4 separate regions of the Mus musculus genome follow, and all the other regions are reported to be linked to region 1. The links are microRNA targets in miRTarBase. Many come from high-throughput screens and were not tested one by one. Region 1 holds a microRNA gene; each other region holds the end of a gene's coding sequence.
Evidence for each region. Region 1 holds the annotated microRNA mmu-miR-339-5p (UCCCUGUCCUCCAGGAGCUCACG, at 1,321-1,343, opposite strand). A microRNA usually pairs through its seed, bases 2 to 8, with sites in the 3' UTR of a target mRNA and lowers its output. Matches are read on the target gene's strand: a 7mer-m8 pairs with bases 2 to 8, a 7mer-A1 pairs with bases 2 to 7 and ends in A, and an 8mer does both.

Region 1 (3,087 bases):
GGCCAGGGCATCACCTGTGCTGGGGCAGTATGACTGGGGATATTCTCTTAATAGGGATTTGTGCTGTCCTGGGGAGGCAGTCAATGCCCAGCGTTTTTGAGCATCCACTGGGCTCAAAAACATCTTGTTCAAACGTTCTTGGAATTGTGGAGGAGGTTGGTGAATATGTCCTGAGGATTGAAAGTCCAAGGCTAGCTTGAGCTTAGCAAGTCTGTCTCAAACATAAACAAAAACCCCTCAAAGGTTAGTTGTAGACCTTGGCAGTAGAGGCCCTGGTAGCCAGTGCCAGACACACAGCTCTGTAGGACCTTCTTTCTTGGAATGACTGAGTCAGGTGTAAGGATGAACACAGGTGAGGGTAGAAGGACCCTCTGTTGTCCCCACCCCATCATGTGACCAGAGCAGCTGTACTGGGGGCGCAGCTGAGTGGCAGGGAATCCAGTCATTTGACCCGCTTCACACAGGACAGAGTCCCAAGGGCACAGCAGATGGTCGATGGAGCCCAGCACCTGGCCTGTCTATCACATACCCAGGTGGTGCCTCCAAGGCTGGGGCATGGTCTCTGGTCCCTACCACCCCTATACCTGTTCCCCAGACATTGGGAATGGCCTACAAGTGACAGCGATGTTTGTGGGGGGAGACCACGAAGCCTGCTGAGGCTGACGAGCTGGGTGCCAAGGCCAGTGGACTCTGTTCTCATTCCCCAGCCCAGAATCAGCCCTCCTCCATTCAGTTGGAGCCAGCCCGAGTCCAGGGTCCCACAGAGGTGTTCGACCTTGAGAGCCCATTCCGGTTCACAGACCTCAGCAGACTGCTGCCCGGCTATGCACTCACTCGGTAGCAAGATTTCCAGAAGACAAAGCAAAAGCACAACAACATAATGAAGAGAGGGGAGAGAGTTTGTTTTAAAGGAAGCTTTTTATTTGGAGGTAATTACTGAAACACAGTGGATGTAGAAGTGACCCAGGGACACCAACTGCCAGGACATAGGTCACACGCAGTAGAATCAACTGGTGCTACAGAGGACACACACAGAGGGAGAGACCTGGAAGGCTCCCTCCTGGCTCCTCTCCCCTCCCCCTCAGTGTCTGCGTAGGTTAAGATGATTAGGACCCCAGAGGGGTCAGTGCCTTGCGTCACCGCACAGAGAAACCAGAGTCCCCTCCATCCACGGAACAACCTGCAGATCTGCACAATCGAGTTCAAGAAGGTACAGCATGAACAGCCAGCGACTGAGCACCCTGGTCTGCAGGCAAGGGTCTGTGGACAGTGCAGGGGTGGACACCGGCTCTGTCGCCGAGGCGCTCACAGGCAGGCATACGTGAGCTCCTGGAGGACAGGGATAGTGGCCACCCCGTCCAGCTCTGCACAGCTGTGCTCTCACCACCTTGGTGCCAAGGCAAGGGTCACACCCACCTAGGGATCCCCTTCTAGATATGACTTTTCAAATGCACAAAATGTCACTTAAGCCCCATGCTTGAAAAAGACAAAGATGACAGATGCGGCACCCTGCCTCCTCAGTGACCTGAATGGCGGAAGTGAGCAGCAGATCTGATGTATCCCTGAGAAACAGGAGACTGGGCCATCACCAGCTGCCACAGGACACACGAATCCCCAGAGGTGATGTTGTCACCGCCACCAAGCCCAGGCTCTGTCCAGGCCACAGGTCCTTCTGCAGTCACGGCAGAAACACCCTGTGTCACTTACTTGGGGGTTAAACACAGGCTAAAGCCTAAGTCTTGACCTCAGGCTGCCCAGAGAATTAACTTTCTCACAGACTCCAGCACAGACCACAAGGCCTCTAGGCTGTGAGTCCCCGACTATACATCGGTTTTCTTGGCTCTCTGGCCTCAGCTCACCTGACTCAGGCTGACTGGCCCCACCAACAAGGTTATGAAGGTCCCATGGGTTTTCTAGGTCTAACCTCTCCCACTGCTATCTCACATGTCCCCAGTTCCAACACAGGAGCAGACAGACCCCAGGAGCTTGAACAGGGTGCAGATTTCCTTGACTAGGCTGAGGGGCTGGCTCCAGAAGATAAAACTTCCGTCCCTTTGCCTGCAGATCACAGGAACTGGTCCCAGCAGCTCTGGCACAAGTTTAAGTGGGAAGCCCAACTCGGCCATCAGTGAAGCTCCTGGTCCAAGAGCAAGGACAGAGTCAGCCCCTGCCACCTGAATCACGGGCGTGAGGGCGACACACACAACAAGCTCCCACCTAGGTCTACTCAGAAATGGCAGAAAGCAGCCAACAGGCAGGGAAGAGGGCCCTGCAGCGGGGGAGATGGGGAGGTCTCTAATCAGACCCCTGCAGTAGGAGACCCTGAAGTGAAGGAGAGGGAGGGGCTTGCATCTATAACTGAGCATTCCCAGGCCAGGAAAAGCCTGCTGACACAAGAACCTGTGTACTGTGCAGAGCCTGCGCTGCGTCCCTGAGCCGAGCGAGACTCAGTCTCATTTCAGCTGCAGTCTGCCTCCTTCGCCCTAGCTGGAGGCCTTCTTTCTAGCCAGGGCCAGGTACCCACATCCCCTTCTCTAGAGCTTCCCGGCATGCCCACCACCCAGGGATGCTTGTTCTAGCCTGGTTTCCACGTGCCCCACTCCCAATTCTATTTGAGTGTGCCGGTAATCAAAATGCTTTTGATTTTGGCTTCCTCTGGTAGAGCAGCTGTGTTCACACATCCCAAACTGCCTAGTGGACCCCCAAGTGACATTAAGGTCATGGAAGCTTTCTTGCTGTGGCCAAGGAAAGGCCATTTCTCCTGCTACAACGGGCCCAGCAACCACCCTGCAAGCAAGGTCAGATGTCTCTGCTCACCTGGGTAAGTGACTCCCTAGCAATCCAAAACTCCCCACCCCCCTTTTTTTAAAACAGCAGAAATGTGAAGACAGCTCTGAGCCAACGAGGGCAGAGATGACCAGAACAAACACTGGGGCACAAACAACACTCGCAGGATCCTCTATAGTTCCTACTTTTTGTGCTGATCTTGCTATTATAATGCAGAGCGGATTTCTAAAGCTTGAAAAGCCCACTAAGCAAAGTGTGGGAGTCATCCAAGGTGCGGGTGCAAGCAGCTACAACTGGGCA
Region 2 (3,087 bases), not on the chromosome of region 1:
GCTGTGCTGTGGCCCATGCCACCCACCGTGATGCTTATTCAGGGGGCTCAGTGGACCTCTTCCACGTTCGGGAGAGCGGATGGGAGTATGTATCCCGCAGTGATGCTTGCGTGCTGTATAGGGAGCTGCAGAAAGCCCGGAGCTTGGAGCAGGAGCTGGAGGCAAAAGCTTGTGGAATCTATCCTGAGCCTGCCACGCCGCAAGGTGCTCGAGAATGTAAAGAACTCTTTGTGGAGCAAGAGGAGGTGACGCCAGAAGACTGCGCGATAATAATGAAGACTGAAACAATGTAAGAAAGGACAGAACTTGGGGACTGCCAGGACAAGGGACTAGGGGATGAAGCTGCCTTGGCAGGGTTAGTTCTGGGAGCAGCCCCGGGCATCTGGCTCTGGCCCTTTTGGGTTTCCTGCTTTGTTTAAGTTCCCATCCTCTCTGCTTCCCAGAGCTACTGATGTCTCTGTCCAACATGTTCTGATGATACCTGATGGATGGTATTGCCTCCTTCTGCCTCTAAAGTGACTAAACAAACACTCATTGCATGCCTACTTTGTGCCAACTGTCATGCTATGTGCTGGGCCCTCTTTTGTCATTCTACCCCAGTTGGTATTCTCATTTTGGTCCTTATCTGGTTTGTTTTCTCTTTCAGCTGGTCACCTTTTCAACTTGGTCAGGCTGAATGGCCAGGAGAGAGCCTAGTTTAGTGATGGGCTTGTCTCTGCTGGCCCTCCACACCCTGACCCCCACCATGACTGTAATGGCTATAATGATTCCACCTATACTGAGTGCAGTTCCCATGACAGCTTTTGCAAGCATGATTGTTTATTGAAGCTGGGTCAGGTTTAGAGAGTTACAGGACTTACGCAGGTTACAGTAGGTGACAATGTTGTGGGGCTTAAGACACTCTTAATCCTTCCCCAGCTCTCTGCATCTTTCCCTCCCAGCCTCCACTGTCTTGCCTTGTTTTTCTGCCTGCATTGCAGGCTTCTGGGGAATGGGCCAAACCCCTGCCTGTTGTCTGGAGATGAATGAACTCCAAGGAACTCATGGGCTTGGAGGGAAGAGCTCAGAGAAGCTGCCCATTCCCGGTCTCATCTTGCTGTGTTGGTCAGGGTTTGAGCCATGCCCTGTAGCACACACATCCCTGCTCTCTACCCTGCAGATCTCTCCCTGCTTCTTCGCTCCGGCCTCTCCTGGTTGCTCCTGCTGGAGAATGAAGACCAGAGGCAGGGTGCTGTGCCTCTGGTGCCAGCTAGCACATCTGGCCTTCCTGGCCTGCTCTGGACGTCCAGGATTTCAGCTTCAGGAACACCACTGCCTCCTCCTCAGGGCTGGGCATCCAGAGAAAGGGAACCCAAAGAACTTTCCTCTCACCTGAAGCCTCCAGTCCTAAGACTGACAACTGCTTCTCCTTCCTTGACAGTGTGCACTTCGAATTAAGAATTCTTTGAAATCAGACTTAGACTTACAGATTCTTACCCAGACTCTCCAAACTCTGGAGAGTCAAAAGGCAAGCTGGGGAGCCCAGAGAAAATGGAGGATGGGCAGTGGTGATGCACAACTTTAATCCCAGCACTCAGTAGGCAGCAGCAGGCGGATTTCTGAGTTGGAGGCCAGCCTGGTCTACAGAGTGAGTTCCAGGACAGCCAGGGCTACACAGAGAAACCCTGTCTTGAAAAACCAAACCAAACCAAACCAAACCAAACCAAACCAAACCAAACCAAACCAAACCAAACCAAACCAAACCAAACCAAGCCAAGCCAAACCAAGCCAAACAAACAAACAAACAAACAAACAAACAACCCTACAAAAAACAAGAAACAAACAAACTCCCAAACCCAGAGTGCTACAGAAAGGTTCCCAATACATGGGGTCTGGCTTGCAAGCCAGGGTAGAAATCTGGCTATTGGCCTTCAAAGCATCCTTCATCCCCTGCAAACTTCCTAGCCTTGGGGAAGAGATATGATCCTCCAGGAGTGACATCCAAAGGTTAGGGATACTGAAGAAGCAAATGAGGAGAGGTCATTTTTTTTTTTTTTAAGATTTATTTCTTTTAATGTCCTGTTTTCAAACACACCAGAAGAGGGCATCAGATCCCATTACAGATGATTGTGAGCCACCGTGTGGTTGCTGGGATTTGAACTCAGGACCTCTGGAAGAGCAGGCAGTGCTCTTAACCTCTGAGCCACCTCTCCAGCCTGAGAGGTAACTTTTGCACAGGCATAAGTGGGTTCAGATTCATGGCCATTGATGAGGGTCTTATGTCCAGCTGTCGGGGAATGAGTTAAGATAGGCATCTGCACTTCAGTGTGGTGGGCGAGGCATGTGGTGTTGTTCTGTGGAAGAGAGAGGAGCAGCACTTGACTCAGAGCAGCCGCTGCAGCCTGTGTAGCCCAGCGCTAGCCATCATGCACAGTGGAGAGCCACAAAAAAGAGGAGGTTGGGGCGGGGCTGTATAGGAGCCTATGGCTGCTCCTCACCCTGGTCTACTCTGAGGCTTTCAGGCAGTGAACAGAGGCAGGGGCAGAGGGATGGTCTGGGACCTGGGATGAACATCTGGGACCAGCCAAAGGCTGCTGTGCATCTCAATCCCCTGAGATGCTCTGTGCCTCTCTTCTCAGACTGGACAAGGAGGCTAGAACCCTGAAAGAGCAGAACTTGCATCTACATCCGTCTCCTCCTCTCTCCTCTCTCTTCCTTCCATGATCTTATTCTTGGTCTTATTCATGATCTTATTCTTATTCTTGATCTTCATTCTTCTTGGCAGGTGATGAGATATGTAAGCTTACAGGTTTTGCTGATGAGCTTGTATCCCCAAACCCTGTAAGAATTTCGAGGGGCTGAGAGATGGCTCTGCAGGTAAAGGTACTTGCCACCAAACCCGATGACATACGAGTTTAGTCCCCAGGACTGACATGTGGAAAAGGATAGGAAAAAGATACACTGTGTAAATACATGAACCAGGAAAACATTTAAACAGTGTTTGAGGAAATGTTTGTCTTGTTGTTGTTGTTGACTTTAAATATGAGTGTATGCATGTATGCATGTATGTATGTATGCATGTCACATGCATGCCTGGTGCCCACAGAG
Region 3 (3,087 bases), not on the chromosome of region 1:
ACAGAGACCCCCTGCGTCTGGAGATTAATGGCAGGATGTTGAGATTAAAGGTCTGTGCCACCTTGGCAGCTCTCAAATTTGTATGTGTGGGTATGTGTGTGTGCATGTAGGTGCAAAAGTAATGCCCTCTCCTGGAGTTCCAGGACGTCGTCAATTGTGTGTCATGGGTGCTGGTTCCCCCGAGAAGTATGAGCTCTTAGACACTGAACCATCCATCAACTTTCTCCTGTCCTCTTATTTGATAAGTGTGTGGTATGTGTGTGGAATGTGTGTATGCATGGTGTGTATGTGGTGTGGTGTGCGATGTGTGTGATGTATGCATGTGGTGTGTATGTGTGTGTGTGGTGTGGTGTGTAATATGTATATGTACGGGAGCCTGGAGAGATCAGAATGCTTCAGATACCCTGAAGCTGGAGTTATAAGCCATGTGAGCTGCCAGATGTGGGCACTGGGAACCGAATTCAGATCCGCTAGAAGAGCAGCAAGCCTCCTCCCCCCCCCCCCCTTTTTGTTTTGTTTTTCAAGACAGGATTTCTCTGTGTAGTCCTGACTGTCTTGGAACTTACTCTGTAGACCAGGCTGGCCTCGAACTCAGAAATCCGCCTGCCTCTGCCTCCCAAGTGCGTGTTCCACCACTGCCCAGCTAGCAGCAAGCCCTCTAAGCCATCTCTTCAGTATTGTGCCCCTCCTCAAACCCATTTTGAGACAAAAAAAAAAAAAAATCTCACTGGGGCTGTTTGCAAACTCAAAGAAAGCCACCTGCCTCTGCCTCCTGAGTGCTGGGATTAAAGAAATGGGCCAACACAGCTGGCAGGCTTTCCTTTTTGTAATTAACTCGTGTGTGTGAGCTTATGAACATATGCATTTATGTGTGAGGGCACTCACGTGTCACACAGTGCATTGATGGTCAAAGGTCAACCTGTCCAGTCTCCCCTCTACCATGTGTGCCCTAGGGATCAAACTCAAGCAGTCGGGCCCTTTACCCACCACACTGAGCCATTTTGCAGAGCCATTTTAATTCTTTTGAATAAGTTTGGTATCTGACAGAGAGTAAAGATTGTTGGAATTTCCTTAGATAAAACCATACTTATTTACCTAGCCGCAGAGCGTGGCACATAGGCATTCCTGACAAATGAAAAACAGCAGGCGCCGGGCAGTGGTGGCGCACGCCTTTAATTCCAGCACTCTGAGGCAGGCGGATTTCAGAGCTCCAGGCCAACCTGGTCTACAGAGTGAGTTCCAGGACAGCCAGGGCTACACAGAGAAGCCCTGTCTCAAAAAAAAAAAAAAAGACAAAAGAAAAAAAAAAAGAAAAGCAGTAGGCTTAAAGAAAGGGGGCTCCAGAGACCAAAGGCACTCAGGGATGCACACCTGGGAAATGGCAGCTACCTGAAGGATGATTGGATAGAACTGGGAAGGCTGTCACTTGCTGCCATCTTTTAGGTAGGGCCCAAGGAAAGGGTGTTCCCAGGTTTCACGGTGTATTTCTCTCCCACAGGTTTCAAATCTACTCAAATCAGTCTGCGCTGGAGTCTCTGGCGGTGAGTTGGGGATGGCAAAGGGTGGGTCCAGGCCTCGGGGCAAGTTGGCCGCTCACTCAAACCTGTATGCACTGTCTGTCGCCCCCCCCTGCCTTTTTTTTCCCCCTCAGCTGATCCCACTGCAGGCCCCACTGAAGACACTGCTGCAAATCGGAGTGATGCCTTTGCTGAACGGTAGGGACTGAGGGTGGGAGGATGGAGTGGGGACACGGACTAACAAAGGGGGGACGGCGGTGGATGGTGGACATGACGACACAGATGGACTGATGGACACCCAGGCTGAGCTTGCCTCTCTCATCCACAGAGCGTACCTGGCGTGGGGTGCAGATCCCCCTTCCTGAGGGTATCAACTTCGTGCGTGAGGTGGTGACCAACCACGCGGTAAGTACATTGTGGAAAGGAGGCCGTAGACCAGGGCATTCCTGTCCCTACAACACCCCAGTGCTTGTCTGTTTTCCCGAAACCCCTTTACACTAGTTGCTCCTTCACATATATATTATTTAAGTAGTAAAGATTTAACTTAGAAGCAGGGCCATGCTCCAGAGAACATACGCCACGCCGCAAAGCAGCTGGGGCCCCTGAGGGGATTTGCTCAAGAGTCTTGTGTTTGTTTGGAGGCTGTTTCCAAACAACTGAACCAGCCAGGCTCCCTGTCCCCTCCCGCAGGGCTTCGTCACTGTTGGGGCTGACCTCCACTTTGCCAAAGGGCTTCGAGAAGTGATTGACAAGAACCGTCCTGCAGACGTTGCGGCCTCCCATGTCCCCCCACCCTCTGCTGCAGCTGCCTGAGCCCATCACCCCACCTGGGTGGCTGGCATTCAGGAACCTAACTGAAGTCTTCTCTGCACCCCCTGCCAACCCCTTCCCATCTACAGTGTTAGTGGTCCCGGTGCCACAGAGAAGAGCCCAGTTGGAAGCTATACCCGATTTAATTCCAGAATTAGTCAACCATCAATTAGAATCCATCCACCCCCCTCCTTGGGTTTCTCTAGCTCTGTTGGGGTCCTGGGGTGGTCAGTTTTTATGCAGTCGGGGAGGTCAGGCCACCCCACGATGGCCGGAACAAAGTGCTCACTTGGTCCTAGGCTGTCTGTGACGCCCTGAGGCCCAGGCTGGGATGCACCAGGCTGTGAGAAGTCTGGGCAGTTTTAGTACAGGACTTGCCCCACGGGAGCATTAGCGGAGGACTCCTCTCTGCTGAGAGAGGCCGAGAGGGGCTGATCAGGTACTGAGGATTTCCATGGGTTGCAGCGGAAGCTATCAGTAAGGCTCTTTGTTCAGGAACCTCGAGAACATGGTAAAAGCAGCTCGAGGCTTGTCCGTGGGGACCATGTGTCCGGCACCCTGGGGAGCAAAGCTTTATGAGAGATCTGGATCCCCAACATGCATCACCCCTCACTTCCAGCCGCTTCCTTCTTCACCTCCTCACCCTGCAAGCTCGCCCAATGCATCAAGGGTGACCCAGAATCATCAGAGAGAGACGGGGAAGTCACACCACTCCCCCGCTCTGGCCCCGGCTGTCCCTCACTAGGCACAAAGTCCTACC
Region 4 (3,087 bases), not on the chromosome of region 1:
CTTCTGGTTCTTAGCACAGGAGAAATACACACGCATTCAGGCTGTACTTTGTTTTGTGTAGCATCTTTGATAAAGTACTTTTCCTCCAGCTATAACGTAGAATCTTCTGTGAAATGTACACGTGAAAATACGGTAAAGTCATAGTGTTACAAACCAAAGAAAATCACATACCATTAATAACTCACTTATCACATTTAGAACATGACATCTATTTGTTAGAAGAGTTCTTTGGTTCTTCTTATAAACACCCCTTTACCACTTAATGCGTTTTAACTAACAGTACATGTGAACACTAAAAGAAACACTCTTCTTGTTATTAGCAGAGAGAGGAACATGCATGCATTCACATTGTACTGTGCTTTGTGTGGAGTATATGTTATGGTTCTGTTGCAGCTATAATCTTAAAAAAAGAAATTAAGTTTCAAATATTTTTAATTCTCCAGTAAAGTATTTTCACAACCTATTAAAAATACAAATTTAACTGTATTTCATTTCTTTTTCCAGTAAAGACAGCATAAAATAAAGAGCCGCTGCACTCAGGTAAATGAATAATTGGCTAAGACTTGAGTAAGATGTAGAACATGAAAATGCATTTATAGTCCTTTAATCTTTTTCTTCCCAAGCTGACAAAATACAATTAAAGCTTCTGATATCTAGTTTCTTACTGTAGCTTATGAATTATTTAATTGAAAGTGTAGTTTCCTGTGATGTAATGCTACTTCAGGAAGTCCCTAAAATTATATTGGAGCTGTGACCAATCTATTCATTTACTCTAAACCACAAAACTTTCTGCCACTCTAGTCCTACAACTGTTTTTCTAAGACTTTAATAAAGAATGGACACAGGCCGAGCGGTGGTGGCGCATGCCTTTAATCCCAGCACTTGGGAGGCAGATTTCTGAGTTCGAAGCCAGTCTGGTCTACAAAGTGAGTTCCAGGACAGCCAGGCCTATACAGAGAAACCCTGTCTTGAAACAAACAAACAAACAAACAAACAAACAAATAAAAAAGAATGGACACAGGTAGTTATTAGGTTAATACTATATAATCTAGCATAGACAGCCAAACAATAAAGACCCTAAAAGAAAGTTTTATCATTTATTTGTCTAAGCTCTTTCCTATACAACTGAAATATTAGTCACAAATCCTATTTTAAAGCTCATCTTCTAAAACAAAACAACACCCCAAACCTAAATAGTGCTGACTCAACATTTTATTTCTACTTTACTCCTAGTGCTTAGTCTAGATGTCTGGAGTAACATTTAGACATGAGAAAAGTTCAGGCATCTCAAGTCAGAAGTAAATATTTGTTAAAACCTTTGAGAGTCAGGGCCATGCCTCAGTGGTAGATTATTCAACCCCCTTTCTCAACTGAAAAGTTACTACTGAATGTCAGAAAAATCAGCCTAAAAGATAAATGAGTACCGTAAATGCTTCTCTCTATCTTAAGATGAAAAGATACATTACTTATTATATTGTCATTTCAAAAAAGGGCTTCCTAGGAAGTCTTTAGTGCTTCTGTTCTGAGCAGATATTGGGTTAGACATGGTTTAATATGAACTCCTCCAGAATTATTTATTTGATAAACCTATCTATATGAAAGAAGCAAAACCCAAATCACTTTTTATCAAAACCCACAGCTGTTAGTAGTGTCTATAAATGAATTCTGTGATTTATTTCTGACAGTTCTAATCTGTAGTATATTCACAGCAAGCGTATAAAGCTTCCAATTCTATGGGGAAACACATAAAATTCACTATTAAGCAAAAAAAAACAACCAAACAAAAAGTCATCGTATTTGAAATAGCAAGCAAATTATAGTCTCAGTAGTGAAAACCACAAGAAATCTATCCAATGTGACAGACATATTTCAGTTACCTTGGGTTTTTTTGGTCCTTTTGTTATTTTGTGTTTTTCTTTCCAGAGCTGAGGACCGAACCCAGGGCCTTGCAAGCAAGCGCTCTACCACTGAGCTAAATCCCCAACCCCGACAGACATATTTCAAATATTTAATGTATAACCTGATTTTGGAATTTACAAAAGTAATTATCTTATATAGAAGCAGAAAATTCAGGATTAAAAATCATTACTGCCAGAATTGATTATATCATTAAGTATAATCTTAAAGGACTCCTGCCTTAGTTGGAGGAAAAGAACAAAAATCCATATATTGTGACTCGCTCAGGATGAGATCTAGCTATATATTGTGACTCGCTCAGGATGAGATCTGTGACACTGTAAGGAGGTTAAGAAGCTGTCAGTCAGAACCATCTTCTTCACAGTGCTCCAGTGACCTCTTAAGAACACACTTTTATAAATACAATAAAAGATAATACTATCAATTATTTGCTGGTAAAAACACATCACCTAAAGTAAATTCAACACTGGACATAATACAGATGAGAAAATTTTTATTATTTAGTTTATTTATAAGGTTAAAAAAATTAGCCTTTTGTCTGTTCTTATAAGTAGATGTTATCACTCAATTTTTGAAGACTTCAAGTCAACTAACTCAGAACTTTAAGAAGCGTTAATGATCCCTTCTGAGGCAGCTTGTGTGTTCTACTGTTCATCAAATTTACTGTTCCAATAAGCCTAGGGACTGAGATAAGATGGAGCTGACAACTATCTCCATAATCTTAAAAACTAGGTGAAACAAATGTCCTCGTGGTCCACAAGACAGTCAAGTGTAGACAGATCACTTGACTAGCAGCTAGCGTGTGACTACATAACTTCTAGCAGCAGAACACTCGGCACAGCCACGAGCAAATGCTTTCATTCAACTGCAAATTAATTTCTCTGTAAGAAATGATTTTTTAAAATACTCTAAAATATTGTTCACCTGCCCACAAACATGAAACACATCAAAGATCTTGTTTGTCTCCATTTTTCCCTGTAGAATCAGGTGCACTGGAAACCTTATTAGTTTCAACAAAAACAGATTCAAAGGCAGCTTCCTGTTCATCCAAAGGATTGGTGGTAGTGACTCCTTTAATTAATGTTGGGTTGGTAAAAGACTGTTGTTGCTTGAGCATTGTACTCGATTCTATTGTTTTTCTGCCTCTTCTTTTACCAAGAATTTTGACAT

Region 2: miRTarBase lists Psmb11 as a target of mmu-miR-339-5p. The part of its 3' UTR that is shown has no 7-base or 8-base seed match.
Region 3: the mRNA of Ctsa is a reported target of mmu-miR-339-5p. Seed matches in the 3' UTR shown: 8mer at 2,189-2,196 and 7mer-m8 at 1,268-1,274.
Region 4: miRTarBase lists Pex13 as a target of mmu-miR-339-5p. Seed matches in the 3' UTR shown: 7mer-m8 at 962-968.

What each region holds. Positions count from the first base shown.
Region 1 is chr5:139,368,388-139,371,474 of GRCm38, forward strand. It overlaps Mir339 (microRNA 339), which reads right to left and starts at 1,358; the gene lies at 1,263-1,358. All of the region lies in intron 2 of 3110082I17Rik (RIKEN cDNA 3110082I17 gene), which reads right to left.
Region 2 is chr14:54,625,943-54,629,029 of GRCm38, forward strand. Psmb11 (proteasome (prosome, macropain) subunit, beta type, 11) reads left to right here. Exons shown (of 1, transcript NM_175204.4): 1 at 1-3,087. The coding sequence ends at 293. Among named protein-coding and RNA genes, the nearest start is that of Psmb11, 2.2 kb to the left of the region's middle.
Region 3 is chr2:164,838,949-164,842,035 of GRCm38, reverse strand. It overlaps Ctsa (cathepsin A), which reads right to left. Exons shown (of 15, transcript NM_008906.4): 14 at 3,087; 15 at 1,004-2,885. The coding sequence ends at 2,802. Pltp (phospholipid transfer protein) reads left to right here. Exons shown (of 16, transcript NM_011125.2): 13 at 1,499-1,541; 14 at 1,652-1,715; 15 at 1,846-1,922; 16 at 2,208-2,518. The coding sequence ends at 2,330. Among named protein-coding and RNA genes, the nearest start is that of Ctsa, 6.7 kb to the right of the region's middle.
Region 4 is chr11:23,646,429-23,649,515 of GRCm38, forward strand. Pex13 (peroxisomal biogenesis factor 13) reads right to left here. Exons shown (of 4, transcript NM_023651.5): 4 at 855-3,087. The coding sequence ends at 2,864. Among named protein-coding and RNA genes, the nearest start is that of 0610010F05Rik, 14 kb to the left of the region's middle.